Drosophila melanogaster: one gene and its partners. The protein of the gene in region 1 interacts with the protein of each later gene in a pairwise test. Each region holds a gene or a part of one and is shown in the gene's direction. Other genes may lie near its edges.

The links.
Region 2: the proteins of CG32264 (region 1) and CG2116 interact in a two-hybrid assay, tested with the Drosophila melanogaster proteins (one large-scale study listed by BioGRID).
Region 3: the proteins of CG32264 (region 1) and ImpE1 interact in a two-hybrid assay, tested with the Drosophila melanogaster proteins (one large-scale study listed by BioGRID).
Region 4: the proteins of CG32264 (region 1) and CG9083 interact in a two-hybrid assay, tested with the Drosophila melanogaster proteins (one large-scale study listed by BioGRID).

What each region holds. Positions count from the first base shown.
Region 1 is NT_037436.4:3,783,676-3,792,065, reverse strand, and holds the start of CG32264 (uncharacterized protein), read left to right. Parts: upstream 1-4,105; 5' UTR 4,106-4,509; intron 4,510-8,390. Other genes in the region: CG32266 (uncharacterized protein), read right to left, coding at 758-979, 1,211-1,222.
Region 2 is NC_004354.4:8,126,136-8,133,606, forward strand, and holds CG2116 (uncharacterized protein), read left to right. Parts: upstream 1-3,676; 5' UTR 3,677-3,783; coding exon 3,784-5,580; 3' UTR 5,581-5,648; downstream 5,649-7,471. Other genes in the region: cyr (cypher), read right to left, coding at 555-843, 926-1,470; CG10958 (uncharacterized protein), read left to right, coding at 6,377-7,471.
Region 3 is NT_037436.4:8,369,273-8,377,473, forward strand, and holds the start of ImpE1 (Ecdysone-inducible gene E1), read left to right. Parts: upstream 1-3,132; 5' UTR 3,133-3,311; intron 3,312-5,472; exon of another isoform or gene 5,473-5,528; 5' UTR 5,529-5,703; coding exon 5,704-5,799; intron 5,800-8,201.
Region 4 is NT_033778.4:24,895,093-24,901,930, forward strand, and holds CG9083 (uncharacterized protein), read left to right. Parts: upstream 1-3,180; 5' UTR 3,181-3,249; coding exon 3,250-3,267; exon of another isoform or gene 3,268-3,335; coding exon 3,336-4,271; 3' UTR 4,272-4,413; downstream 4,414-6,838. Other genes in the region: NaCP60E (Na channel protein 60E), read left to right, coding at 5,752-5,963; Tpc2 (thiamine pyrophosphate carrier protein 2), read right to left, coding at 4,441-5,412.

The sequences.
Region 1 (8,390 bases):
GATCCTTTTGAATTGCATAATTTTTCATGCTCAAAATTCTTATATTTATCAGTTATTTTTTCGAGTGCACTCCACTTAACCCATTGCAACTTAGTTGCCATAATTTGCACATTTTAGCTGCGATGCAAATGCACGCCGACGCATGCCAGCGACAGTTGACCCCCGACCCCTGTGACTCCTACCCTTTCACACTATCCAAAGCACAACCCCCCACCATTCGCTAGCCCCCTTTTAGCCCACAATTACCGCCCAAAACGCCCCGTTTTGCCACATGAAACATGATATACGAGCCAAAGCGAATGTTTTTGATAGCTAATGGAAATTGCCAAGAAAACCAGCAGCAACGACAGAAACAAATTCGTAAATATTCTAAAATACGCCTCTTTGCTTCCACAAGCACTGTGCACTGAGCGAAAAACTATCAGAATGTTTTCTTTTTTTATAACAAAAGAAAGCTTTCATATATCACCAATGTGAAAACCCAATTGAATATAAGCAAATATTTCGATAATCAATGGCTATGTATGTTTAATTTTTTTTTTTTCAATTATTTAACAAGTGTTTTTCTGCGAGTGTAGAGCCAATGCCACTTTCATTTTGCAGCCCCTTTTAATCTGCAGTTGCTCCAAGCAAATGACAGCAAATAGCTGGCCTTTGGTATGCGAATCTTTATCTGTTTTATCAGGTTTATTTGTTCATTAGTTCGACGTCATCGGGAATTATCGTTGTACAGTGTGCATTCGATGGTGTGGGAACTTCAGCGTCTCAGGTACAGCGAGCTGTAGGGATAGGCTCCGTAGGCGTAGGGCGTGGCGGCATAGACGCCGCTGGTGTAGGCAGCACTGTACGTGGGTGCGTAGAGTCCGCCCGAGTAGGCGTAGGGCGTGGCAGCAACCACAGGCGAGGCCGCACTGTAGGCGGTCAGGAATTGCGGCTTGCCACAGGCAACGGCCAACAGGGCGAACAGGCACAGAGCGAACTGGTTAGAAAAGTTGGGTGAAAAGGGTGAGGGGGGATTTCATTAGCCAAGGAAATAATTACAGTCTTTTGGAGCTGCCACAACAATAAAACTCCTTAGATTCAAATAGATCTTATGTTGTGACTTGAAAGGAGCTTAATAGAACCTCTGATTGCATTATTTCAGAATTCACTTTTGTCAGATACTTGTATCCTTCATAGGTATTTACTTGATATCCCTTTAAATACTCACAAACTTGAACATCTTGAATTGATTGATTTTGGTGGTATATCCGCTGATTGAACAGAAACTGATATGATTAAACAAACGCAGAAGCCCTGGCTTTTATAGTAAAACCTAAGTGGACTTTTGGCTTCACTATCGGCTTTGGTGGGCGGCCCACGAAAAGGGGCGGTGGGCGGTGGGTTAGAGGTCACTCTTGACCCTGGCACGTTTGCTCATTTGCTGTAGTATTGTTTTTTTTTCCTACTACGTTTCTGGCCCGTTTTAATTTGGCCCAAACGTCTTTATGGCCGCTTTGCGCTGCGTGCACTGCATTCTTAATAGCGCTTTTGTTTACCTATGTATGTTTTTTGCTAGATGTTTTTGGAGAAAAAAAATAAAAAATAAAAACGGAAGCAATCAGAAAAATTCCCTGAGCAAATGCAATTTGACCTCTGGCAATGTTAATTTGTGTTGGCCAGATTGTCAATTATCGTTATGACTGCCAGAGATTCCTTGCGCAGCTCCGAAATAGAAAATTCCAAGAGGAATTCCACAGCGAAGACCTCAGAGAAACGGGTTGCCTTGGCTACTTGGCTATGTGAGCCTCATTTTTCTTAGCCCTTTGCATTGCTGTTCCTATTGTTTAGATGCAGCTGATTGTGTTTACACTGCTCAAAACTTATAGTCTGATCACGAATAATACTCAAGGATATAGAAACATTTGCTTTAAATTAATCAAAAGTGAAAATAGAATTTTAGTGTTTAGATTGAAAATAGAAATTTTGTTTCAGTTTGGCGCCTTCTTTGCTGTTACGCTTTGCCCACTCCACAAACATTCAATTTGTCAAGTTGTTAAATTTTAGCAGCTTTTCAGCTGTGCCCCGCCCACTTTCCCAAGAGCGCCCACTTTCTTTGCTCTCGCCCATTGTTGAATGCTGTGCATTTTGCATTTTAAATACAATATAAATTAAGTTGGCAGCTTCTGGCATTGAGAACAGTTTTCGGCAAAGCTGCTGAATGAATGAATGGCAGCCCTTTTATCAAGATTCTCAAGTTAATTTTGCTGAAGGATAAGAAGTTCGGGGAAAATGGGCGGGGAAATCGAGGAAAAACTGACATTGAAGACGAATTGTTCGCTCGGAATGAAGTGGAATTTTATTCCGGTGGGTGGAAAACTTTCCTTGACGATTGAATAAAACGCTGAACTGTTGGGAGAACTCAAAAGCACAATACTATTTTAAAATAGTATTACCAAAGATGTTGGATACCATAAATGAGTTAAGCACAAACTCCATTTGTTTATAAAAATATAATGTGCAAATATGATTTCCAATTTATTTATCCATAAATAATGAAAACATTTAAACATAATATTTGAATCTTATAAATTGTCTCTTTAAATATTAAGTTCGTAAATATATTTGAACGATCATTTACAAAATTAATTTTCTTCGTATAGTTTTGGAGTCACACAAAACATCGGCGAGAAATTTCTCGCATGCGATAAACAGTAAATATTGCACTGCTTGAAGCAGTGCTTCGCAAACTTGCGGCGCCTCTCAAACTGCTATTGTTGTGCTCTCTCCCTGAAAATTTTCTCTCTTTGAATTTTCCATTCTGTTTTTCATTTGCGGACCTGCGCTTTTCATTTGCCGGCATTTCTGGAGCAACAACAAAATTCCAGCGCTGAGTTTTCCCCCTGCCATGCCCCCCTTTTCGTATTTATATATTTAGCTCTCATTAAATATTTTCAACTAGAGCGAAAGATACTTCCGTTTCCTGTTTTATAAAAATAGTACTTGCCATATATAAATATACATATTTACTATGTATATAAATATTTGTAACTATATATGAGGTAAATACTTACTTGACTTAATATAACTAACTAGAAAATAATTCAAACTCCTTATCAAATTCAAAGTAAAATTTGGGAAAATCTACCATTTAGTTCTTCTATATATTATTATATATAAGATTATACTAAAAGTTCACTTTTCCGAGCGCTCACTGTAGGGTGTTTTTGTAGTGGGCCTAAAAATAGGAGACGCCACCACTCGTGAAAATTCTTGAAGAGCAGTTTGGGAAATTCCTTACCGAAAAGTTATATATGGCCGAAAAGAGATTTGCCTTGCGCCATTGTTTAGTGAATTGAATTTTGGTTCAGTGTGTATTTGTTTTTGGAAAAACAAGGTGAAATTGCTTTTGAAGTGCGGTTGCTTCTTGTTTTTCTTTCGCTTCCCTCGAAAAGATTTTCATTTGCCGATTGCCTCATTGGATTTTGAGGTATTAAAGTTTTCGAGAGGGGAATTAGTATCGCATTATTTGGATGTTTCTGGTGCGGAATGCAAATTGATTTTCAATAGTTTTTCGACATTTTCCAGCTCGCCAGAGGAGGCGGCTTTCCACCCAAATTGGCAATTATCATCGGGTGGCGGAATTTGTGGGTGCGAAATGCAAATCAATGGGCAAATCTAATTCAATTTGAGTTCCTATAATCAACTGCTGTGAATGTGAAATGAAAGGCAGACGAAGTTCACTCGTCACTTGATTCAACGTCGTTTATTAATTTGATTTATATGACTTAATGATTAACCAAATATTTATCATATTGAAAAAGATTGACCATTTCGATTAAAAACAAAGATACAACTATATTATCTTTGTAATAATATTTCGATGCTGTTTATATAGCCACGTGTAAATACGATATGTTATCAAGAAATTTATTAATAGATATAAAATCGAGTTTGGCGCCAAATTAAATTTTGAATTTCCAGCCGCTCTCTTCTCGAGTGTGACCGCGCTGCCGACAAATGCCGCGAAACGGTGCAAATTCGGCCTTATCGGCCGCTAAGCAGCTGGCCACACTGCGGCATATAAACAATTTTTTGTCACAATTTTTTTGAGAGCAGACGAACGCACATCGAACGCCAATTGGGGATCGTAAAGTCGGAAAAACAGCGTCGCGCTCGCTTCGAAATAGAAAAAAAACACAATAAACATTAGGTCAAAATCGCATTGGCAATCTTTTAAGTTTCGATTTGATTTAATTTCGCGGTGCAAAGCGAAAGAGAATTTTGAAACGTTTGATTTTTGTTGTTTCGCCGCTCTCTTCGTTGTTGTTCTTTTTGTTGTTTTTTCCGGCGCGTCGTTTGGCGTTTTTAGTGTATGCGTGCGTGTGTGTGCGTAACTACGTGCAGCTGTGTGCGTGCTTCAGTTTGATTTAAATAAATTATTAGTGAAAAGCAGCTGAGAAGAGTAAAGAATACGAAAAAGTGCAAGTAAACGCAATAAAAATATTGCACATTAAATAATCAACAAGTGTAAGTGCAAAGCAAGTGATGTGCAAAATGCAAGAGCAGAGAAAAGAAAATAAAAGCAGAGAAAATGCAGAAAGGAAAATTGTTGTAACTTTTTAACAGCCCAATATCGAATTTAAGTGGCTATTAAAAATCGAAGATCGAGGCAAAGTGCAAAAGGCAACAAAACTACGAAAGCGCCCAAAAGGAAAATCCGGTTTTACAACTTCTCTCTTCACACACTAAACACACACATACAAAACACTCACACTCACACCAGCGAACAATCGAATTCTCTCTGAGAAACTAAAACTAAAATTCCTTTGCTGGGTTTTAATGAATTTTCTATGGGAATTTCACCAGCTAACGAGCAGCTAAAAAAATAATAATCGTAGATAAACAAATAGTGTGAATGAAAAATCAGCTGCGACAGGTGATGCAAAACAAAATACGCAAGGTGCAAAGAAAAAAAATACTTTCATGTGAATTCGATCACAGTGAACGCTCAGTAAAGAAGGAAGCTATTATCTGATCATATCATTATATTATTTAATTTAGAAAACAACTTTTAAAAATTACTTTAGATAATTAACTCATATGCTCATATCATTTGAAGTGCTAGAAAGTTTAAATAAATAGTTATCCATTTTAAAGCTCCACTGTATCTCAAGTATTTAAAAAACCATCCAGAAAAGTGAAATCAATAACAAAAGAATTTGAAAAAAGCGGAAAGAGCGGTCATAAAAATAGTATAAACAGAAAATAACAATAAACCAGTCAAAAAAATAAGCAGTTACCTGTCTCACTCTCTCTTTCCTTAATTCAAACATTTGCGTAAACAATAACCGCTTTACAGTAATTTCGGGCACCTGCTTTTTGTTTACACAAATGCATAAATATGTTGAATATGAATAAATTAATTCATTCAGCGTGTACGGGGCACGCTGCCTCGCTAAATGGAATTTTCACACGAAAAGTGGGAAATATGTGAAGAAAATATAGCGCCAACTTGTGTTATCTTATCCGTAACACAATTTTAATGATGGTGCAATTGAAAAAAATAGCAGAGAAATGTGCTACAATTGCTTCCTTATCAAAAAAGGTATTACCTGCCGGAAAGAGATAGTGGTAGTAGTGATAGGCGGGGAAAGAAAGAGATGGGTGTACGGTGTAGGAAATTACATATTTCATTATTTCCTCGCCCGATTTTTCCGACCAAATATTTTTATCTACTTACAATGTTGTCTAGACAGATTCCTTCGCTTTTCTTCCGTTTTTTTGTTGTGCCACCCATTTGTATATGTATGTACATAGATGTGTATAGGAAAAGTCTGGTAGTGGTGTGTATACTGCGAGATTTCGCACCCTCTCCTAGGATTTTCCTCTGCCGCCGCCTTTACTGCTTTTTGTTGTGCTCCAGACTTCAGTTTACTCCACTTTGCGACGACTTTCGACCCCCCCCCACACCCACAGCAGTGGCAGGCCCTTTTGTGAAGCACCCCCCTTTGCAGCATCCAGCAACCCCCAAAACGCATTCTCTGCTCCCTTTTATTGCCTTTCCTTGTTGTTTTCGGACAGTGGTGCTTGCCTAATTGAAACTAAGGCTGTCATAAGAAAAGAAGTCAAGACAAAAACTACACTTAGTTTATTCTGGGATTACCCAGCTATTAAACACAAATTGAAATATTGTGTAATTATAAACAACAGGACATTTTTCGAGATTCCAAATTCTTTGTTTACTGTAGAGCATCAGCTGTTATAGTCAGCTGACTCAACCGAAATGCACAGTGTGACCATGCTGAGCAACTAAAATAAAAAATTTTTGGAATCCCCGTCAGTTTACCATGTAGTTTACTAAAAATTCCTTAGATAATTGCATACTGTGGTGTTTGGCTTTGTGGGCGCCGTTTGCGCGCAATTTTAAATTTATGCGAACGTTCTGTCACCCTCTCTTTCTCCCTTCATATGCCCATCTCTTTCCCTTCTCCGGGATAAAGAAGTTTTGCCGAAACAACAAAAACAGCGGAGGATGACGACTCTTGTCCACCGTTTTGTTTGTGTTTTTGTCCATTGGTTTTTGCTGTCTGCCGCTGTTTTGCTTTTGTTGCTGCCATTGTCGTTGCAACGTCGGAAAGAGACGGAGCTACTGGGGAGCGACAAAGAGGGGTGCTGCAGACAGAGATAGCGAATTCCCAGTGAATTGTGAATTGCGTTCCATTAGCAGCAACCCCGAACACTTGTGCTTGTGGACTGTGCTGCATGGGCACAGTGGAATGGGTTGTATGACAATTGGAGGTATTACTGTGCACAATCGCAATATTTTCCCAATTTAATATTAGCAGATTGGCATTTAAAAAGGAATTTTTCTGTAGCTTAAACAAACCATTTCTGCACCTGATAGCTAATCCACCCCTAATTGCCCACTGTGCATCCCACTGTGCGACAGCTGCTGGTCAAAAGAGCTGATTGTTGTTGGTTTTGCCATTGCTGCTGTTTCGGTTTTTGTTGCCTTTTCTGTTTGTTGCTGCCTCCGTACTTCCTCCATCTCTGCCCCCCTTTCCTTCGTTCATTGAAATTTTCTTGCGGCGTTCGACAAATTTGTTGTTTAAAGTCGCGTGTGCTGGAAGTTGTTATTGGTATATTTTTGTTTTTTTTACGCTGCTGCTTTTACATAAACAATATTTTTTGTTGTACACAAAAGTTCTGCTTCCACCGTTTTTATCTGTGCGTTTTTTTCAGGATTTTTTTTCGCATTTAATTGGATTTGATTGCTTTTGGCTGGCGGCGGCGCCTCTCAAACGAAAAATCCATGAATCCGAGAGGCTTTTTTTTGTTGCTGCCGCAAATCGCATTAGTTTTTGTTACTATTTGGTTCCCAACGCTTTCCTTTCTGGTCTCACATTTATTTCGATTTTTTTTTTTTCGCAGCCCATTGTTTGGCTTTACAGGCGAAACTCCCTAAACCGGATGTTCCCATAACTTGAACTACATTTCTAGTACTAAATTGCAAAATTACCATTATCATTTAGGCATTTCTTGACTTCTTTCGGATCATTTAAGTATACTAGTTTAATAAAGGAATAATTAAAATAATAATCTACATTTTTTTGCGATACTTTAACATTGTGTGCTTTTATAAGATTTGTTTTAAATTTTTTTTTGCAAAGCCAGAGTTGCCCCAAAAATAAAAGTCGGGCCTCCCTCTCAGTGGGTGCATCTCTTTCTAGCCCACGCTGCTGCCGTCTCTTTCTCATGAGAATAAAATCGCTAAACTACTGAACTGTAAATGAGGTTCAATGAACTTGCCACAAGGCGAGTGGAAGAGAGACGGAGACTGCGAGCGAGCGAGAGGGGGAGAGTCGCTCTTTGTTGAAGCTTTTTCCTCATATTTTTTTTTTAATATGCGCCTGCTGACGTTGCAAGTTGCCCGCGTCGTTCCACATGTGCAATGTGCAATATGCAATATGTTGCACCCTGCCCACCACCCCCTTGATCCCCGCGCCGCTGCAGCCAACGCATTTGCTAATTTAATCGCCTCTCTTTCTTCTGGCGCCGTCTCTTTCGCACCCCGTTTCAATGGATGTTCATTAAAACAAATGCTGTCGACATAAAAAATAAGTTGTATGTTGAATTCATCGCTCTGACGAAAAAGTTACACATGAACATGAGTTTAATTAGTTATTTTATACATAGTAAATAGAAAATTCGTGAAATTCAAAATACATTTTATTTTACTTATCTGATTAAAGTACTTTCTATGTTAGCTGTGATGTTTTCAACAAAATGGGTGACTTTTATATATATTTTTTGTGGTGTTTTTTGTTGCACTGCCTTTAGCAACAAATGTTCAACATTCAACCCCCCACACCCCTCCCCCGTTTCCACGCCACTTCCTGAGCCCTCTT
Region 2 (7,471 bases), on another chromosome or scaffold:
CGCAGCAATCAAGAAATCAGTGGCAAAGAATCGAAAATCAAATTGCTTTTGTTTTACATTTTCGTCGTCTTCAAAATGCACTTAAAACGTTTCTAAAACGCAACCCATAGAAATTTACAGGGTATGTGAAGTTGATGCGACTGAAAACTATTTTATGATATTTCTTTTTAAAATTTTGGAAATACTTTAGTTCTGGCAGCTTAAATCATTTGGCAGATGAACTTAAGCGAACTTTGTGAATGGATTGTTTTTCCCACTTGTTTTTCCCATCGATTGGCCCGATATACCCTCTAGATTGATACCCTCTAGATGTCGCACATAAAAATGAAAGTTAAATGCGATCAATCGCAGATCGCCCCACAGCATCGAGATCGTGGCTAATTAATGACTTTCCGTTCGTCTCGTCGCATCCAAGTTAAGTTTCTAACGGTCTGGTCTGGCGTAGAATGTCGCGCCGCCGGCACCTGTTACGCAAATGAACGATCCACCAGATACGTCCATATATATATGCATATGCATATAGATAGATAGCTTCAGCTGATCGCTTCACTCACCTGCTCGTCGATGGGACAGCCGCGGGCATCGAGTAATTGCTGCGTGGATTCGCCCAGTCCATCGAGTGCCGCACAGTCCACCACCCGCACTCCGATGTTTCCGGGCACGATGGCTCTCACCGTCAGCGTGGTGGCGACGCCCACCTCCACGGATCCGGTGCCATTGGGACCGCCCAATTCTAACCAGATCCTAACGCGTGGCGTCTCCCGCTGCTGTTGATTGATGGACGAAGTGGCGCCGAGAGCTGGAACTGCAGCAGCAGCTGCCAAGGCTCGCATCCTGGCATTTCTACATATATATATATATATATATCGAATCATAAAAGAACTTCTCCATCTTGTTACATTAACTAAAGCATTTGTAGAATTACCTATCGTGACCCTTTTCCTGTCGCAACACCGGAAGTGGCATGCCCATCGCATTGGCCGGAAGTTGGCATCTCACCGAGCTAAGGATGTCGGTGCTCTGGCGCAACTTCTGCTCCTTTTGCAGCATCACACGCACCGTATACTCCAGACTGCCGTCCTCCAGTGGCTCTGCCCTCACTCCGCAACCCGATGTTGGGATGCGCAGATGCAGACGCGTCGAGTCCTTGCCACGTGCGCGACACTCCAGCGGAAAGTCCTTGGCGTAGAGTAATCCGCGAAAGGGACGGCTCAACTCCAGATGCATCTCGAGCAGCTCCCGGCTGCAGTTCACCTGCATCGCCTGGATTTGCATGGTCTTGGTTGTGGTGGTGGTGGTGGTGGTGGTGGTGGTGGTCGTATCGTTAATGAAACTTTCCGGCGTTCTGGTTGTCCAGGCAGCATGACACAGAAACTGCGGCAGATGCAACACTCCGATGGCGATGGCCAATGGCAGCAGCTGGCCGAGATTGAAGGATGTGGACGCGGCCGAGGCGCTGGAGGAGAACATGTTTCCGATTTCCCGTTTTCTACCAGTGGCAACGGCAAACCGCCCCGCCGATGATCAAAACCGCAAAACGATAATGATGCCACTTGTTGCTGCTGTCTTTGGATGTTGCTGCTGCTGTCACTAGATGTTGCTGTGTTGGAAGCGACGACACCTGTTCGTGCGGCCGCGTGGCTAACTCTTAATTGGCCTACTCCCAGTCCAAGTTCGAGAATCTTGTCTGCGAAATGGAAATGCATTAGTTGCATACATAGCATAGCGATGATTTTGGGTCAAGTAATTACGGGGGGGGGGGGGGGGGCATGGTGTGTACTTGTTGCTGCTGGGCTTTCGTGTTTAAATGGGTTAACTAAACTGGAAATTTTGTACTTCAATTGTTAAATAACTATTTAAAGGTATAGCTAGCAATATTGATGATTTTAATCAATTGTAGGGCTAATAGAAAAAGGGAAAGGGGCACAACGCTGTCACTTTATGTAATTTTTAATGGCCAAATAAACGAGAGGCCAATCTGGGGTAGCCCTTCCCTGCCCATTTTCGATGCCATGCGATGCGATGTGATGCCAAATCCGCGACGAAAGCGGGTCAAGTTTGTCCCATATTTGTTTGATTGGATGGAGTCTATAAAGCAATGGAGCTATGGAGCCATGGGGCTACCGGGCTAAAGATGTTGCAGCACGGCGAACAAATAAATAAATAAATAGATGCGATAAAGGCAAACACCGAAGCTTAAATCAACATCAACATAATGCGTTTGCAACTTTGCGTAATCCTATTTTGTGATGTTACTAGCTGGCAGCTAGTATGGTTGGTTATTCGCTTATTGTGCTCTCTATTTGTATTTGTGATTCCCATCTCTTATTAACTTGACTGGGCATTGTAATCAGCCCAATTAACAATATAACTTGGACTCTACTTAAAAACTAAATATACAAGTATGTATGTATTTGTATCTTTCGAAGTGACGGTGCCCTTCACTCGTTTTGAGTTATTTCAAAATCATAGGGCTTATGTCCTTAGTCCTTAATCTTACAAATTAATATACTGAGATATTATTCAATATAACATGTGTGGTTACAATTGTATAGATGTTTTTTTGTCAATAAACTTATACGATCCTTTCAGTTGGTCCTTATTCTAAATCGCACAGATAAGTTCTTTAAATCTAAGTGTGATATTTTTTTAACCATTTGTTTTTACTGTAACTTGACATAGTTTTTTTTTTTTATGTATAACTGATATTATTCTTACCTTTTAGAACGAATTTAATATCCTTTCATCATCCCAATTTTAGCATTCTTTAAGATTTCGCGTTGAGCTTCTTCTCTTTTTCTATAACACTTATATTATAAACAGTAAAAAAAATCACATTCCTTGCGCAATTATGCGGTCAATTTGAATTGCGAAAAAAAGCAGAAGAACCGCAATTTTCAAATTGGTTAATTATCAGCTACTACGCATGCGCGCACTTCGCACGCTCTCAACGAACAGAAACAGTAAACACCGTAAAAAAAAAAACAAAACACTAACTGCTATTGAACAAGTGGATGAGATCGCGAAACACGCCCGTTTTGGATTGAAGAAGTCTCAAGAAGACAAGCGCGCGCCACCGAGTGTGCAGATGCAATGCACCGGGCCAATTCCGAGTCCAGAAGTTAGCCAAGTTAGTCGCGAGCGCAGACCGCAAAACAGTCAGTACAGCAACAACAACAATGAGGGAAGGGGCCAAAAGCGGCAAAAGACGTTGGCCGACGTCGCGCATGCCCAGCGATGTTTTTTTTTGGCGCGCAAGCACCTATTCAAATTGCGCGTTATCGATAATGCGCATGTATCGATATTTTGCGATCTATTCATCGGCACAATATTTAATTTATTTATTATATATATTTTAGTAAAGAAAATACACGTTTCACACAGGCAATGATCGAAATTCGAATAGATGTATTCGCATTTCTCGAATTTTCGTTTTTCTTTTCAAAAAGTAGCAGTTATTTGATCGAAACAAAATTAATATTGGTCGATATATGGAATGTCATACCTCGTTGAATTTGTAATAAAGTTTCAAATCGAGTGGCATTTACAGCTCAAAATGTTGGATTTTCATGATCTATGATCTACGCAGAGTGAGTCGATGTATGAAAGCGGAAGGAAGCAAGCATTTCTACAAAGCGAGTATTTTGTTGAAAATTGCATCGATACCTGGTATCCGATAGTTAGTTTCGGCCAGCAACCTGCGACTGGTCACACTTGCAACTTTTTACGTTTTTTTTCGGCAGTCGTGCGAATTAATTAATTAATTCAGTTGATGTGACCAGGATGAGCCACAAACGCTGCCTTGCGAACGAGGTAATCGAATTCGTCCTGCCGGCCAATAGCGATTACTCGGACGAAGACAACCGTGGAAACGTTCGTGTGATTAACACTAGCGATGATGCCACCTACGTGCTTCTGGACAACCTGGGCAACGAGTTCGAAGAGGACATCATCATCGTCAATGAGAACGGCGTGGAGAAGGAGATGCTGATGAGCAAGGAGCTGCGCGACTTTATAGTGGGCTCCCGGGTGAAGGATTTGACGGATGACGAACAGATGCCGCAATTTGTGGTCAGGGAATTGGATATGAGCGAAGTGGGGGATTTGGTGGAGGTGGAACCGGAGATGGAACAGGAGGCGGACTATGGCGACTACGGCGACTACGAGCACGAACCTAGCTACGGCCATCCGCGCGATAACGAAAGGGTGGAAGAGGATCTGGATATGTATCCACCGTCGTCACCCTCGCTGCCACCATCGCCACCAAGGCCGCCGTCGCCTGTTGTCCAGCCCGCTAGCAAAGCTAGAAATTCTGCCCGCCAGATCGCCTTACGTAGCTTTGTCAGCCAAAAAAACAACGACGACGATGATGGTAGCGTGAAGGAGGTGAAGCCAAGCGAAAAGATGCTGGAGGAGTTCAAGGGACCGCGTCGCTACATGCTTTTCGACGACCTGATAGCCACCATTGTGGACTTTGACGAGGATAGCACACCCCTTGTGGAGTTCTCCATGATCAGCGACATCATGGACGAGAAGCTGCCGGTGGAGTGCGGCATTTGCCCAGATGTGATGCACAAATCAAAGCTGTCCAAGCACCACAAGACCCATCTGGTGCCTGGCACCAATCGCTATGCTTGCATTTACTGCACGGAAACGTATCGCGACTGCAAGTACCTGGCCGGACATGCGCGGCGCCACATGGGCATCCGTCCATACGTCTGCGAACTGTGCACCCTATACTTTTCGACCAAGCAGGATCTGCGCGTGCACAATCAGCGCCGACATCTGGAGAAGGAGCATATTTGCGAAGTGTGCGGCAAGACGTTCGCCCAGAATACCCAGCTGAAGCGGCATCGCGAGGCGACGCACGAGAAGAAGCGGCGATTCCAGTGCGAGTACTGCCAGAAGGCCTACTACAAGAATTTCTCTCTGCAGGAGCACATCCGCAATGTTCACATGGGCAAGCGGCGGATGCTCAAATGCCCATTCTGTGGCATGCAGTGTCGCGATGCTCACAAGATGGCCCGTCATCGTAAGGAGATGCATCTGAGCCAGGGCACATACGTGTGCCATTTGTGCCAGGAGGAGTTCACCGACATCAGCTACTTCGATGCCCACAAGCGTTCGATTCAGTGCCGTAGCAATACGCGTCGCTTTGTGAATGCGGATGGGAATCGTGAAGGATCCGATTCGGAATCCATTTCCGGTCGCAATATGAATGGCCAGGACGACGATTACGACGGCATGGGCCCACTGCAGGAGGAGTACGACGAGGATGACGGCCTGTTGGTTGAGGACAATCAACCAGAGGAGCAGGGTTCGCCGTCCAATCGCCAATATTTGGACGAGAGCGAGCAACAGTATGTGCAGCTATCGGATTACGATGACCAGCACCTGCTGGTGGAGAACGCAGTGGACGCAGAGGATGGCGGTGAGGATTTAGATGAGCTGCTAACCGAGGATCAGTACTTTAACGCTGTCCAACAGCATCACCAGCAGCATCAGCAGCATCATGGCCGAGGGCAGGACTACAACGACGAGCTGATATATGAAATCACCTTGAAGACTGAGGATAACTGAGTGCCGCAACTCCGCGCAAATTTTGTACATATATAGGTCGCAATTAAATACTATCATGTAAAGAATTCATTCGCTTGACTTTGTTTTTGAATGGCAGTACCAAGTTTTTTGGTCGAATGCAACCCAGTGTGTACAAATCCGCAGGGCTGTATTTTAAAGGGCATCAAGTTCGGACTGTTGATTGCAACCAAGGGGTCAAACATCGCGCCTTTTGGTTGTACCAAGGGGTCATTGCGGTTTTGGCAATGGAATTTTCCACTCATTTTGCATTTAGCAAGGCCCCGGTGACGTCAGCACGGGCTATACAGCAGGAGGAAGTGAGAAGGAAATAACTTTAGCTACAGCACTTATTGCTCCATTTCGATAACGATTATTTCGGGTGGAGATGAACTAATTTCAAAACTAAATAGACTTTTATGTATTAAATACGTATTATTCAATGATTTATTGTTAATTATTATTGACAAAATATGGTAAAGCAGTCATGAGACACTTTTTATTAAAAAAAAAGATCATGTATATTTGCTTAAGCCTGCACTTCTCTTGTTTTGCAACACTAATGGGGCGGGCACCACTGACAACAGAAGTAAACAAACGTAAAGACAACATTTTTGTTTCTACCGGAAAAGTAGGCGAAATGGGCAATGACCACGAAACCAAGGGAACCCGGGATCCTTCGATCAAACTTCTCCAGTCACACAACAAACCACCTTGATTTGGAGCAGAGTTGCCTTCAGAAATTCCGCACAACAAAGCGATTCTCATCCAAATCTCGACCTGGCATATATTTTAAACAATGGACGACAACGAGGATGAGCTGGAGGAGCACCAGGAGCTGGTCAGCGACGGCAGTGTCGAGGAGGAGGAGGAGGTGGAGCCCGATCTGGGACCAGTGGACAGTTGGGAGTCCTTTAATGACCGCATCGATGGCCTGATCTTTAACGAGCGATGCGACAAGTCGGTGAAGAAGTTGGACGAACGCCGGCTGGCGATACTCAACCGGGTGCGTCAGCAGTTCCGCGAGGCCCCGAAAGGCGTCGCCGAACGTTGCCAGGCCCAGAAGTCGCCGATTGATCAACGGCTGGAGTTGTCCAGTGAGCGATTGAACGAACTGGTGCGCTTTGGCAAAGAACTAGTGACCAATGTCCGGGTGGCCAACGAGCGAAGGGAGCTGAATCGCCGACTCTTCGAGGGTGCGCAGAAGAATCAGATGCATGTGAAGCTGCAACGCGAAAGCGTTGAGACAATGGCCCGTTTCGAGAACATTAAGGCGCGCTGGACGGAGCTGGAGGAGACCAATGAGCCGATGCTGTTGTGGGACCAAATCGAAGAGCAAAAGAAACGCATTGCCGAGATTATGGCACGCAAGGATGAGATGATATCTGCCTGCCAAGCGGAGGTGGACCGCATGAATGCCAAGTACGAGTTCGATCGCGAGCGGCAGGCCCAGGATCTTTGTTGTCTGGTGGAGCGCGTTGATCACCAGGTGGAGACGCTTAAGGAGGCCTACAAGGAGCACATCCAAATGCTGCGGCAAACCATCGAGGAGGAGCGTCAAATCTTCGCCGATAATGCGGTGGAGAAGTGGCGCACCTTCTTCGATGCGATGAATGCCAACTTTGACGAGAAGGCCAATTTGGTAAGGGCACGCGAGCAATTCTATGCTCGCCAAACCCAGCAGATCAACGAGTCCCAGGAGGAGCTGACCAAGAGCACTCGCATTCGGCTGGAGAAGGAGTGCGAGAGGCTCGAGCTGGAGCTACGTCGCACGCGCGACAATGTGCTGATGAACTCCGAGAAGCTGGACTACAACTATCAGGTTCTCCAGAAGCGCAACGAGGAGAACGTGATCATTAACAACCAGCAGAAGCGACGGGTGGCCCGACTGCAT
Region 3 (8,201 bases), 4.6 Mb from region 1:
CGGGCGAAAAGAGATGGAGAGCGATTCCCGTGCCGAAATCCCGAAAAAAGGCAGAAAAGAAATGCACATTTAGATTATACGAGATATTGGCCAGAAGTGGGTACGAAAGGTATGCATACCTTTCCTTTGGCACATGGCCCCAAAACTGCAATAAACTAGTGGCCCAAAACGAACAAACAAACAGCAGCAGAATAATGCTTTATTCCCCCTCTCTTCAATTTTGTATTTAAAAAAAAAAAAACATTTTTTTTTTTTGGTTGTGTGTATGCCTTCTGTTGGACAAAAATTCCGAAAAGCAAATCCATTTTGTTCCGACTTTCATTTTGGAGCAGCGGCAAGCGCTGCACACAGTTTGAAGACAATTGTATAAATGAAAGTTTAAGATCTCCGGCGGCAACTGAACATTGCGGGCATTTTGGGCACCTGTGTGTGCATGTGTGTTTGTAGGGCAGTGTACATGCGATGGGCCGGGGGGGCGGTGGGCGTGGCGGCAGCGACAGGTACACCGGCACTCAAGATCGATAGCAGTCCAATAAAAAAAAAGGAGTATAAAAAAATAAAAATCCAAAAAGACCCGGCACGTGTTCCCCCAAGAGCAAAGCAAAAGCACTTTTCAATTGTTCACCACTTGTCGATGATCGTGGCGATGATAATGATGCCAACACCGATATTGCTGCTGCAGTTGCTGCTGCTGCTGCTGCTGCTGCGGCTGCTGTTGCTGCTGCTACTTCCACTGATGATGATGAACATTTCTCCAGTGCAGTGTCTTCAACTTTGCTACGATTTCGATTTACTTTTGCTTTTCATTGTTCCTAATGCGATGATGATGGCCACTGGCTGCCGGCTGTTTGTCGAGACATTAATAACAATTTCATGGTTTTCAACACAAAATGCACACCCATCGGAAACTTTTCCGATTTTCAATAGTTTCTATTGAATTTACACAACAATTTTGCAGTGTTTTTTGGGTTTGCTAAGAGGATTACCAAATGGTATCAGTTAAAAGCGTTACGGTTTCTTCTTGGAACCGATACTTTTAATTTGAATGGTTTTAAATAAAAGTTTGATATTTTTGAAATAAAAAATACATTTCTACTTAATGAATGCTAATAATAATGTATGGTTTTATATGATTTATATATATGTTATATTAACTAACCTATATAAATCTAATGAACTATTTATTTAAATTTCTCATCCCTACATCCAAGATATGCCGAAATCTTAAAAACTTTCTTTAGTGCAGCCCAATTTCTTTGTATAAGTTTTAAGAAGCAAATTTTAAGGGTTCAATCCTCTCGCATTTCCTCGATCTTGATCGATTGATTCCATTGACTTCGATTCCATTGCCCCCGGCCGAAAGTGAGAAATCAGAATTAAGCAAGTAACCGTGGACAATCAGCGTCAATTATGGCTATGTTCCTTAACTATATACATATATGTTCATATATGGCCATTATATGCGATTTCGATTCGGGACAATCAACTCTTTTTTCGCTGAGGAGGGTGCTCCGCTTCCGGTGCTTGAAATAAATCTTCAAATTAAGATGCTGTCTTCCAGAAAATGCTCGAAAATCGAAGCAACTTTTTGTAGTTTTCGCCGAGAATGAGCGAAACAAAGCGGGCAGATATAAAATTGAATGTGAAATCAAAAACGATCAAAAGCGCTTTGAAGTGACCACTTGGCACAATATGCGATGTCTACACCCGACTTGAGTTCAGTCGGTTCTTGGTGAATGCGTGGGTGGGTTAAAAAGTTCTATATTATCAGTATTTTATCAGTTTAAAATTGTCTTTTTATCATTAATTTTATTATTTATGCGACAGAACTAATTTTTGCAGCAAAACTTGAATTTAGTACGGGCAAATCGAACAAAAACTTCCAGTGCCACCCTCTTGATAATCTGAAAATCTGACAGCGAAAAACAGTTTGTTTAAAATGAACTCAAATGCGAAAATTACACCCCAAGCGACCAATTTAAAACCATTAAATTATAATTTTAAATTTTAAAGAGCTCGAACGACTTGAAGGGAGGGCAGCCGTGGCATTATTCAATTAGGGAAGACGCATTTGTATAGTTTTTGGACTCCCAGCCAAATGGAGTGCGTTGGATCCGACCACGATCATCCCCATCCCCATCCCCATTCTCCACCTCCACTTTTCACTCGGAAGATTATTCTTAACGTTTCGCAAGTCGATTTCAGTTGCTTCACTTGCCTCATTGCGATTGCAACACGGGTTCAACTTCAAGTGACGGAAGTGGGAAAACGAAAATCAACTACAGTTGAGCCTCTCTACCGTGTACTTTCCTCAAACGTAATATTCAATCATATCGAACATTTTAAAACTGGTGCCTTACTAAGATTGAACAGGAAATCTTATAGAATCTTAAAGATTTATTGTACTAATTTTTTTGATAAAAGCTTTTAAGATTCTTCAATTTAAACATAAATATAATAAGCATTTTTCAGTAGTATGCTGCAACATGTTTATATAATGTTAATTTTTTATTAGCCCTCAAAATTGGCTATTTAAATGTATATGTATATATAGGCCTATTAGGCCCATTCGATCTATAGATGTGGCACTGTAAGATAAAGCGGTTAATTTCGAAATGAATGCAGTTGCCGGGCAGCAAAAAGTGGCGATTTCGGCGTGTAGGTGTACAAACGCTTCGCCGTTTATCTCTATTAATCTGTGCGTTCGCACTCGCTCGCACCTGACACTCATAATTAAAGAAACAAATAAAGCAGCGCACTGGCTGCTGTTGCGCCTGCGCAGCGGTCACATTTGCATAGCAGCAGCAGCAACATCACTCGCAACAGCGGCAACACAGCAGCAGCAGCAACACAGCAGCAGCAGCAGCAGCAGCACAACAGCAGCAACAGCAACCATGTGAATCCAAGAGTTCGGCACTTGTCGTGTCTTCAAAAGCTTTGCTGCCTTGACTTTGACTTTGGCCAAAAGCTCGCTTTTCAGCCAAGAGTTCGCCGCGTGTTGCTGTTGTTGCTGCTGTTGTTGCTGCTGCTGTTGCTGTTGCTGGTGCTGCTGCTGCGGATGTTGCTGCCGCTGCGCGACTGCGAGCGCGCGGCTGCTTGTCTTGGTTCTTTAAGTCCGTGGCTGGCTGGCTCCTCTTCAGTTCGTTGCTGACCATCGTTACGTGCGGACGTGCCCAGCTCAGCTCATCTTCGTGTGATGTGGCTGCACTTTGCACACTAAACTTAAGATCTGAGCCCAAAACGTTTTCCAAGCTGCAAAAATATAACAAAAGTGCCGCGACGCGTGTGACAAACGAAAATCGAGTAAAACGGTAGCTAAAACAATGATTCTATGAATATGAAATAAGAGAGCGCACAAAAATATGGAAGGAAATAATAATACTGATAATAATAATAATAATGATCGAGGGATATTTTTTGGAATTGGACTAAGGCGCGGCCATCGGGCCAACTGAGTGTAATTTCAGTCAGTTTCTTGCGCACAGACACACTCGCCAGGAAAACAAACAAACAAACCAACTAAGCAACCAACCAACCAACCAACCGACCAACCAACAAACAAACAAACAGCGAGCGTCCAGATAGACAAACATACATGGGAAGGCAGTCAAGTGAAGACAGTGCAGAGTTCTCCTGTCCAGTTTGCTGCAGATGCGGTTGGAGATGCAGTGGCAGTGGCATCAGCAACAGCACCAGCACCAGAACACACAGCGCACAGAACCCAGCCGAACCAAAACCAAACCGAACCGAACAGATGCAGATGCACCCAAAGCCAGTCCAGCATCAGCTCGGATCTGGCTTTAACTTTGGCTTGGGCTCCAACTTCAGCTCCAGCTCCATCTCCAGCTCCACTGGCACATGTGCTGGCGGTGGAGTCGCCATATTGGGTGCATAACGGTGCTAGAATCGCGCTGCTTTTTGCTTTTGCTGCCTTGTGTCTGAGTGTCTGAGTGTCTCTCGGCCAGCTTCTTAGCCAGGCTGTTGCATTTGGCTCTCGGTGCACCGCATCCCAACCCATCTTATGCCATCGCATCGCATCGCATCGCATTGATGACGACCCAGCGACCGATAGACCAAGCGCAAAAACCGCAAACTAAAAATGCTGATCCCCTTTGCCAGCGACCCGCTCTTTTGCGGTCGCCAGCCCAACACTTTGCACATGCTGATCGATTGCGGAAGATCTCCGCCATCTCCAGTTCCATTTGCATCGTCCATCTGCATCTCTGTATATGTATCAGCTACTCCAAGGCTGACTGGGTCACCAAATTGAGTCGGCCAGTTGTCCAGACACTCCCACCAACTGGCCCCTTTGACCAAATGCCAAATATTAGTAATAATATTCTCGTCAGGTTTTTGCTTGGTTAACCAATTATTCTTTATTCTGAAGTAGAAAAGTATATGGTCATAACTATTGGTTAAATATGTCGAACTTCCCTTTTTTCTTCCAAAAAAGTTTCAAAAGACTTAACGTAGCCTAATGCCTCATTTTATCCTTATCTGTGCATTTAAAATTAAATCAAGGGACACCCATTTTCTTTCTTCTAAATTCTATACAAATTTCAATTAAATATTCAGCTTCCAAAGATAGCACATACGTTTTTCTCTGTGCAGCGACTAGTTCTCAGGCCATCTCACCTTAGACCAATTTAAATCGAACTCTTAGGCCCTGCCTCATTGTCAGCTCCGTTTTCCCTTCCTTTTTTCCCATTTTTTTTATTAAGTTATAAAACTGCTGGAGTTAGTAGATGTTTTATATCGGCACAGAGCTCAGTTTTTTTTTTTTTTTGTGATGTTCTTCTCAGCCGCCTAACGGTAATGCCCTAGAGCGCCACATTCTCAGACCCAGTCTTCCAGTCTCGAACTCTTCGGCCCAGACTCATGCATTGCAATAAAATGAAATTTTATAACAGCGTCAGCGGCAGCAGCACCGAACAGATACAACGACGGCAACAAAAACGTTACCCAAATTCCAAAAAAAAATATATAAAAAACCTGAACGAGAGAGAGGGAGACAGGCAAAGGTCGTCACAGCAAGTGAAAATAGCAAAGCCAAGAAACAAAACCAAAAAACAAAAAAAAAAACTAAAGACGGCGGTCGAGATAAATAAACGAAATAAGTTTTAGGGCCTAGTGGCCCAAACAAGAGCTAGGTGGTTCAGGTGTTAATTTCCCATTTTCGGGTTTTCTTCGGCTGCCGCGCAAGTTCGCTGCCTAAGTCTTTCGTTTTAAAGTGGAGCGACACCGCGCGCACCGCTCGAATGCCCATTGAATGCGAATGAGGGGCGTGTGAGCCGCAAGCCGGCCGGTTCAACTGCAAAATAATAAAACAGAAATTATTATTATTATTATTTCCCTCATTTTTGTGTGTTGCTTGTTAGTGGGGCGCATTTCCTTTACCCGAAAAGAAAAAAAAAATGAAAGAAATGAAATAAAGGAGAAGAAACCTTTTCGTTCCGTTTTTGACCCTCAAAGTTCAGAGTTTAAGTCAAGCCTCCCCTCACCACCACCACACTGACTCCTTTCCACAGCGAAAAACATATATTTACGACTGCAACGAGAGGAATACCAGCTACAGGAAAATAACCCAAGAAAAGCGGCTGAAAAATCGAAAAAACCAAAAGAAAACACACAAAAGGAGGGAAAAGCGAGAAAAGCCTTCCCAGGGAGATCCAAAGCAGCTTCTTTGGAGATTCAGAAGCGGCAATGACGGCGACTGCGAGGCAGTCGGCAACATCGAGAAAGCAACCTGCGATCGCAATGCTCAATGGAAACGCTTTTACGGTTAAGCGGCTCTTAGCGGTAAGTCAACTCATCTAAGGCCAAAAAAGGCAAAAACAAAAAAAAAAAAAAAAAGAACTAACGACAAAAAATCAAACTGCACTCCCCCACATAAAAATCATCATTTGGGGCGTTGCCAATTCAAATTGCTCCACAAAAAGCAGCCAAAGCAAATGTTTGTCACCTGGTCAGTTCCGAGCACCATTGTTAAGCACTTTTTCGCTTTCTTAAACAAAAGATTCATTTTTTTGGCACAATTTTCGACTCTTTCATCGCGTGGGCTCACTTCAATCGTGGGCCGCTGCTCTGCAAGATAGTTTTTCTCCTTCTCGTGTGTAAAGAGCTGTGAAGTCGGCCATTGGGTCAAATTGTTGCTGATAGATGGCTAGGCAGGCGTCGAAGATCATGATGATGTCGGTTGTGTTCGGTTGGGGGTCGCCACTTCACCGACTGAGTAATGTGGGCAAATTAATCTAATAAAAGGTGGGAGTCTTCGTTGCCTCTGCTCCACTGGACCGAACTTCATTCCAAGAGAAAACAAAAAAAAAAAAAACTCAAAGCTCGAGAGTGGGCATTAAGTTTAGTGAATTATTTGCTTCATAAAATTTCATTGCCCGGCACTTAATCATTATTACTGCGGGAAGAGTCATTATGGGTGTACTATGGGAACTAGTTTGTCTATTAATAAACGATTCTATTGAATTTGCTGGCTATTTTGGGATTCCAAGAAAAGTGCAGACTTAATGCAAAGTTAGTTAACTTCAAGTAAGTTATTGTTAATGATTTTCGCGGTTAACAATCTCATCAATTTAAATGTTCTTCTAAATATCGTACGTTTCTTTGTGCCAATTTATTTATCAGGACTGGCATTTGCATATAAAAAATGTGAAATTCAATTTGCAATCAATTTTTTTTTTTGTAATTGAATAAGAGTTTCCCATGCGATGCACAATCTATTCATGGTGCTAAATCAATGGAATCTGTTTGTTAGAAAGCAATCGGCCAAGGGCTTCTCAACTCCAGTACTTGAGAGAAAATTTCCTTCCAGCAGTTATTTTTTTTTTTTTTTCACTCCAGCCAAGACTAACAAACAATTTATCCGTTTCGATGTTGTTTGTTATTATGGTCCGCTGCTGCCCTCGGCCGGCCCATTCAACCCATTTCGAGCCAAGTGCATTAAGTCTTGGCCAGAAGAGCCAGTGAAGCCAGTAGATGGCCAGAAGGCCCAGTAGTTGGCCAGCAAGGCAGCAAGAGCCGCTGCATCTGGGCGCTCCACCTGCATTCGGACCGGCCAAAGGTCACCAGACGGTCTGGCGCCCGACGATCATTAAAAGAGTACGAAAGTAATTTGTAAAACACGAAAACTTATCTACTTCTTTTTTTTTTCGCTGCTGCTGAGCCGAGCTTTTCTTGCTGTTCTTTTACGATTCTAAATTACAATGACTGCAGAAACCGAAAAAAAAAATATGCCACTGCAACGGGTCTTCATTAGCACAGACTGGTCGTAAACCCAAAATAAAAAAAAAACATTTTCACAAAAAAATAGGCAGCAAAATAAATAAGCCAAGTCAGTTCGCCGCAGGTGATAAATGGGGTTTTGGCAGCTTGGGTCTTAAAGACCGGACCTTTTGGCCAGGAAGACGAATGGCCTGGCGAAGGATTACAAATGGTGAGGTGGACATGGGTTGACGGTTATTAGCAATCCGCCTGCAGATCTTTGTTTACGCGCTTTTCATTTTGGCAAGATGACAATGCTGTGGCCAATAACGAAAGTAACCCCCGAGTTATTGGGTCAAAACGAAACAACAAACTCGGACACAATGGTCAACACATTCTCTTTATTCTATTTAGTGCCAGTGCCAGTGCCTCGTGCTCGAAAGCCTCTCGAAAGCGTAATTAAACAATTTCTTCTCTGTTTATTGACATTTTATTGATGCCGCCGAGCTTGAGCGGTTTCATTTCTGGTTGTTCTGCGGTTGTTTGCGATACCAATTCCAATTCCAATTCCTATTCGGATACAGATACTTTTCCCCCATTCGGTGTCTTGTTTGTATTGTTGCTCCCATTGAGCGATACTCCTCGGATTTTCAATGGATCTTGTGGAGTGCCTGCGAGTGTTGTTTTGAATAGAGGAGCACCGAATGAGTGGCGAAATGATCTCGAGACTCGAGGAAAACACCTCTCAATGGGGATTATGTGGTGTAGTTTATTTATTTATTGTTATTGAAAGAAACCAAGGAGTAGTGCTAATGGTTTAGTATTCAATAAACCCAATTTGATGATCATAACAGTGAAATAAATGTTTTTGGCGAAAGCTATTGAAAGGAGTGATCGAATCAATCTTGTAGAAAATAAAAAAATACTTTGAGATCTAAAAAACATTTGATATAGAAACGAAAGGATTTTAACAATTTACTAATATC
Region 4 (6,838 bases), on another chromosome or scaffold:
AGGCAGTTGGGGTGGGGGGACCAAAGGCATTTCCTTTTTGTGCGTGTTGAGCGTTTTCCTGCCACTTCCCGAACTCCTGTCCTGCTGTCCGGTCCTGCTCATCAACATAATTAAATAGCATTGCTCATTGTGTGCCGGTTGTGCCTTGGATACGGGGCATGTGCTTGGGTCTGGGGCACTTGGGTCCTGTGTCCTGGGTCTTGGCCAATAAAACGAAAATGGAATCGAACCAGCTTAATGGCGGGGCAGAGTGACCCTAAGGCCGTTTAAATAAATGATAAACAAATCGAAAATGGGAAGCGCTTTTGTCGGACCGAAAAGTTTCGGCTGATGACTGGCCATAAGTTACGCAATCGTTTTTGCAGGCGCCGATAGAGAGCGCCATTTGTCCTTACAGCAGGAGTGAGTGGGTGGGCCTTGGGTTGATAAGTGGGCGCAGGGCGCCATTGTCAGCGGAGTATATTCACTGGGGAGGTGAACAATGCACAAAGGCCAGCAGGCGCTGCCATCTGCGGATTACGAATATGAACGGAAACGGAAACTAATTAAATATGTAGAGCAATTGTTGCTGCATCTCGCTTTATCCTACCGATTCACTTTTTCACTTTTGTTTGTCCCGCATCACTGCAGCCAGTGTTTCGGTTTCTCCTTCGGCTCGGCTTGGGCTGGGGCTTGGACCGACCACCTTCCTTTCCGCCTTGCCAGTCTCGAATTGGATTTGGTTTTTGGCCAGGGCCAGGAAGCAGTCGAGAGCAAGCGCCCCAACTGCGAGGGGCGTAATTGCCCTACCCCCTAAGCCTCCGCTCCGAGTCCAAATCCCAATCCCATTTCAATTTCCATTCCCATTCCCGTCACCATTGAACTTGCTCAAAGGTCTGCGCAGCTGCAACTGCAACAGAGGCAGCAATGCCAGTTGCAACTGCAACAATGGCTGCACTTTAAACAACAAACTTTGAAAGTTAAACCAGGAAATCCGAAGCAAAGCATGCAGTACATAAGGAGTATCAAGAGAGCACCATAATATAGCAGAAAATCGAATTGACTTTTTCAAGACTTTCCCCACAATTCTAAAACTGTTGCCCACAATCTCGTGAATCACTTGTAGCACACCTTTTTCTCTCTGTGTGTGGATGCAACTGGTTTTTTGGGAAAACCACGACATTGCACGTCGCTAGTTGCTTTTAGTTTCTGTATCGGTGTGCAATTTCCTTTTTGTTTTTGGGCGCTTTGAGAATGACTTTGCTTCCGCGTGAAGATGCGACGGCAGGTCTGGAGTTTCGAGTCGCGAGCCCGGGTCGATTATGCAATATGGGGAAGATGTGCGTCTTCGTTGCATCTGATGTTAATGTGCGACCGCCAACCGGTTGCCCATCGTCATTGCCGTCATCGCCGGGGCAGCAGAAGCAGCTTCATCATCGTGAGCGTGGCCCTCTCTAGCTGAAGATGTAATCCCCATTGAAAGATGCTCTGATGGCACTGGAGTGCAGCCCATTTGCTCCAGCTCAGCGGCTTCCAGTTCGAACTTCATTCGGCACAGCATCGTGATTATGACCGGCGATGTGGCTTTATTGGCAACAGATTATTGCGTCGGTGTCCCGCTTGCTGCTCCCAGCTAGTTCCTTATGTAAGCCCGCTTTGTTTACAATCCGAAACAGTTTAAATGTATATTAATTATTCGGCAGTGATGGAATCTGCCGAGCGAGCAGTCAGCTGCCTAGCTCCGTAGCTGCCAGATGAGAAATGATAATCAGCGACGTAATCGAAATGGCCGGATGGCCCCGATTCGCTGGCTCGGCCCAAGTCACTCACTGCTAATGAAAACAGTGGCTAATCAACGGCGAAAGCATGGCGGCGGGGGTTGTTGGGGCGTCCAGATTGGTGGGTGGGTGAGTTGGAGGTGTTGGGTGGCCAGTGGCCATGACCTCTCTCCGCTGCCAGTCGGACATCTTGCTGATGTAAGCGCGAACAAAACCCACGGCGCGTTGCCTTTTGCCCATGTTGCAGCGCGGGGGCATGACAAGATATTTTTGATGTTGCTGCAGGCGAGGCTTAACCCAATAGCGCTCGAGAGCCTCTCGCCAAACGGCGACCTGACCTGGCCCAATCCAAAGAACAGTAACTGGCTCCTTCCCTGCCTCACAGCCGCGGCACCACTGCTTCGCGTTGGTAAACAAAATTATATTGATAATTTCCGGCACTGGTACGGCCATCAATGGGTTAATGACTAGCGACAGTGAGCAGCCAGCGGGCAGCAGCCAACCCGGCCAACCCTTGGCCAATCGTTATGCAAGTCTGGACCAACAATAAGGAATTGCCAATAGGAAGTTCGTCGTATCTACATAAAAATCCATAAACATGAACGTCAACAAAATACCTAACGGTTAACAACCAGCATCGGCGATGTGATAAAGTAGCAATAGCAACGAGCTCTGGGCCAAAACTGGAACTGGTCAAGTTGCATATTACCACAGTTTGAGTTTCGGTTTTAGCTATTTTCGGCCGCCAGCCCACGAAGCTTAGGGCCACTCAGATTTTCTCTCGAAAGAAAGTAGAGCACAGAAGCGAATGCTCCTCGAGAGAGTGTGTTAGTGCACTGGGAGAATCCGTGTATTACAATTACAAAATAAAAGTCTTAGATTTAGAAAAACATTTTTATGCAGTATCCAAGCTGCTTTCGTAAAATATGATTTTCTTACGTAAATATAGCAAAAGGAATTTAAGATATCTTTTAGCGATCTTAAATTGGTCTACGAAACCGGTTTTGTTTATCATGTAAAATATTGAAAATGGAAAACCAAAGATGATTGATACACTTAAGTTGGCATCACACCATGGGATTTAAAATAATTTTGAGTCACAGACCCTTTTTTACGTTATCCGTGTGGTATTGCAATTGGGCACATGCTGGGGATGATGATGTGAAAGGTCAACACTCTCGCGATCTTCAGAAAGGGAGAGTGAAGACTGGATGGCCGAGAAGAAGACGAAGACGAAGACGCGGCCAGTTGGCCTTCAATGGGTCGCGGTCGTGAAGTCTCCAGTGGTCTGGCTCCACTTCATTCAGCTCGTCGTCGGCGAAAGAGATTATCTCTGCACTTGCTCAGCGGCAAGCGATCGCTTATATAACCGCATGGCTCCCGAGTGGAGAAGAGGGCTATAAAACGGCGTGTGCCCATGTTTGCCGAATCATTTCCAGTCGGTCCAGAGGCGAGCAATCATTCGAGAGTCCTTCGTAACGAATCCAGAGAAATGGCAGCCCGTTTCATAGTGAGTTTGGCACGACACCACGTCAGTTCAGGTGGATCCTAACACAGATTCCCTCCTCCCACTCCCAGATCAGTGCGCTTCTGCTGGCTAGCCCAGCGGTATGGGGAAAGCCCACCTTCGGACGAGAGCATGTCCACATCCGTATTCACCTGCCAGAGAGCGGTGGGGATCACGGCGGCCACGGAGGCGGTGATTTTGGCGGCCACGGAGGCGGTGATTTTGGCGGCCATGGAGGTGGAGGCTATGAGATTCACTCCCACGATGGCGGATACAGCGGCGGTGGAGGAGGCGGTGGTCATGTGAACACCTATGCTGTTATCACCGAGAACCACGGATACAGTTCCGGGGGTGGCGGAGGCGGTGGAGGTGGCCACGGATACAGCTCCGGCGGATATAGTTCCGGTCATGATGATGCCAAGATTGCTGCCATCGCTGCTGCTGCTGGCTCGTCCTCCGATCACGGACATGGCGGACATGGAGGCAGCGGCGGACACGGCGGAGGTTATGGTGGCCATGCCATCGCCAACATTGCAGCCATCGCCGCCAGCTCAGACTCCTCTGATCATGGTGGCAGCGGAGGATACGGCGGCTACAGCGGTGGCGGTCACAGCGGAGGAGGTCATGACACCCAGGTGATTGTGGCTGCTGCTGCGGCTGGAGATTCACATGGCTCTTCCGGCGGATACGGCGGCGGATCCTCCGGTGGATACAGTGGTGGCTCCTCCGGGGGCTACGATGGTGGATATTCTGGTGGATCCTCTTACAGCGGAGCCTCCTCCTACAGCAGCGGCTCGTCCTACAGCTCTGGAGGATACAGCAGTGGACATGGCGGTGGCTATAGCAGTGGCGGCGGATCCAGCTATGATACACAAGTGGTGGCTGCAGCCGCTGCTTCAGGCAGCGGTGGCTCCTACGGCGGGTCTTCCGGCGGCGGTGGCGACGGATACAGCTACTCAGCGCCGGCCTCAGGCGGCTGGGCAGGATCCAGTTCAAACTGGAAGTAGACGGCAATGTCCGTCGTTGGCCATCTGGTCGTCTAGTCTACTGTTCACGTTTAACTTATATTTGACATGTTCGCTCATCCATATTCCACACATTCTCCCAAGATACTGGTGTACAAAATAAACCATGTTAGTGTAATAATTTAAGCCAGCCGCCCAGTATGTGATTTACCTAATGCTTGCCCAGTTTTTGCCGATTTTTCTCCGCCTCTTTCATCGGAGCTATATAGTGGCGCTTAAACATGTCATAGATGGAGAAGTACACGGCACTCATCAGTCCTGCCTTGAGTAGAGTAGGCAACATTCCCTTATAGAAGCCTCCGATTCCTTCCTCCCGAAACGTGGTGGTGATGCAGCCCAGGATCGTAGGGCACTCGGGGTTGCGACCAAAGGTCTTACGTTCCTGTTTGAAGGCCATCAGCTGGATGCGCTTTTTAAGCAGGTCCGCCGGGTACACGATCATCTTGGCCAACACCCCTGACAGCGCCCCATTGAGAAACAGAAATGCGCCGTGGATTTCCTGGCGCTGGTCGGGAGGCTTGGCCATCAAGACAGCCGCGTTGAGGTACTTGTAGAAGAGAAAGTTTGCCCCTACCAGCGGAAACACCTGCACAAGCGTGAAGGGTAGTCCTCGGGAAAGTCCCATCCACCCCTCCATCTTATAGACCTTTCGAAGTCCGGTAAAAGTGTTCATCTGACTGCGGCGCGAGGAGGGGTCTGCGGCCACCATCTGTGTTCTTACCACGTCGAACGGCTGGGCGGCCACGGCTCCCAGACATCCGGCTATGCCGCCGCAGATGAAAAACATGAGAAAGGGTCGCTCCCTCCAGTAGTCAAACTGGTGGGCCATGGAGCGAAGCTGTTCGTAGGACCAGAACTGTACCAGAGCGTACGAAATGCTCAGAACCTGGCCGGAGTTGTGACCACGGAACATACCGCGCATTCCCTCCTCGGCGTACACCGACTTGAAAGCGTGGATGACTCCACGGTATTTGGACCCCTTATGGTTTGTCACCGGCTCCACTTGCATCTGGAATCGGATCTTCAGAACGTCCAGCGGCTGGGTTATGGTCCGCGTCGCAGCTCCGGCGATTCCGCCGCCGACGGCCTGCATTAACTGGACTACCACCGAGTTTTCGGGCATCGGATGTGGCGACGAGCAGTGGACGGATTCACTCACGGCAGGAGTTATTCACTGTACAGATGAGGACGAAGTGGTGTGTTGTCATTCCGCAAGCTAAATTTCCTGCTACTGTATAAGAAAGTGGCTAGGCTTTTATTAAGCTCTGGCCAATTACACAGTATTTTCCAATTTAATATTTAGTCGAAATTTTAAAATACACAATAATTTCTCTGACAAGAATGTAAAAGCTTAAAATTTTTAAGGTGTCTACGTACTTTAGTTGGGGTCTGCATGTGAATGTACATACATTTCTATGCTTGTGTTGGTTGTCGCATTATTAATCCCTTCGATCTCTTTCAGCTGTCGCCAAGCACCAGGTTGTCGCGTACACGCAGAGGTCGCAGGTTAAGCACGAGAACCGGCACATCCAGCTGGTGCGGGAGTACGGCTTCCACCCGCGCACTAAGGCCTCCGTGGAGGACGGCGACGTGCTGCCCCGCAAATTCGAGCCCTTTCCGGAGCACATGTACGGAAAGCCGCTGGAGGAGATTGACACCTTCATTTACGAGGAGGTGAGTACTGCCGCGTTCAACATTCCCTCATTATCCGCGGCCTCGCCTCACTTGGCCGCCCATTGGCTCTAATTAAAAAGTCACAGGCAGGCGACCAGACCCCAGATCCGTGTTCTCATGGTAGGGCAATCCTCGTGGTGGCAGGTGCAGGCGGCGGAAATGGAACGCGGCGCGCGGCTGTTGTTGCTTTTGTTTTCATACCGCCGTCTCGCTGCACTTGCCCCATTGTAGGCACAAGTGGAAGTGCACTTTGGCTCAGGGAAACTGGGGTTAATGGAAACGCCTAGAACGGCCCTCGAAAACCGAAAAGGAAATCAGGGTAAATGCCGTTCGTTCGTTAAATTTCAAAGCCGGGAATAAATTTTGGAACTGTGTACATCAAACAAAGGACACACAGTTGCAAACACGTCTGCCCAAGTGTTAGTGCAGGCATGAACTCGGTGCTGGAAATATGGGTCATGTCATGCACAGGGCTCCGGGCAGCAAAGTTGACAGCCGTATTTACGTGACTCAAACAAACTGGCCGGAGCCGCTGCCGCAGCAGCCGCAGAGGACAAATTATAGGCGAACATGCAAGTGTACTCAAGACTTGGCGGCTTTCGCGCCACGTGTCGTGGCGAAATAATTCCGAAAAGCGGCCTAGCCGGACGAACTGGACTGGGACTGGGCTGAATAAACATGCAAGTGGCCAGCCCACGGGGCTGCACTATAATGGGAGTTACGGTGAGCGATAAGATGAGCGTACCTGTGACGCCGAGTGATGTGTTTTATCGATCTACCTGACATCCCACTAAGTCCAAGACAAACAAAGTCCGGCAATCTATAATTAAATCTTATTGGCGACACGCTTGCAGTCCGGGAACATCCCCTTGCGA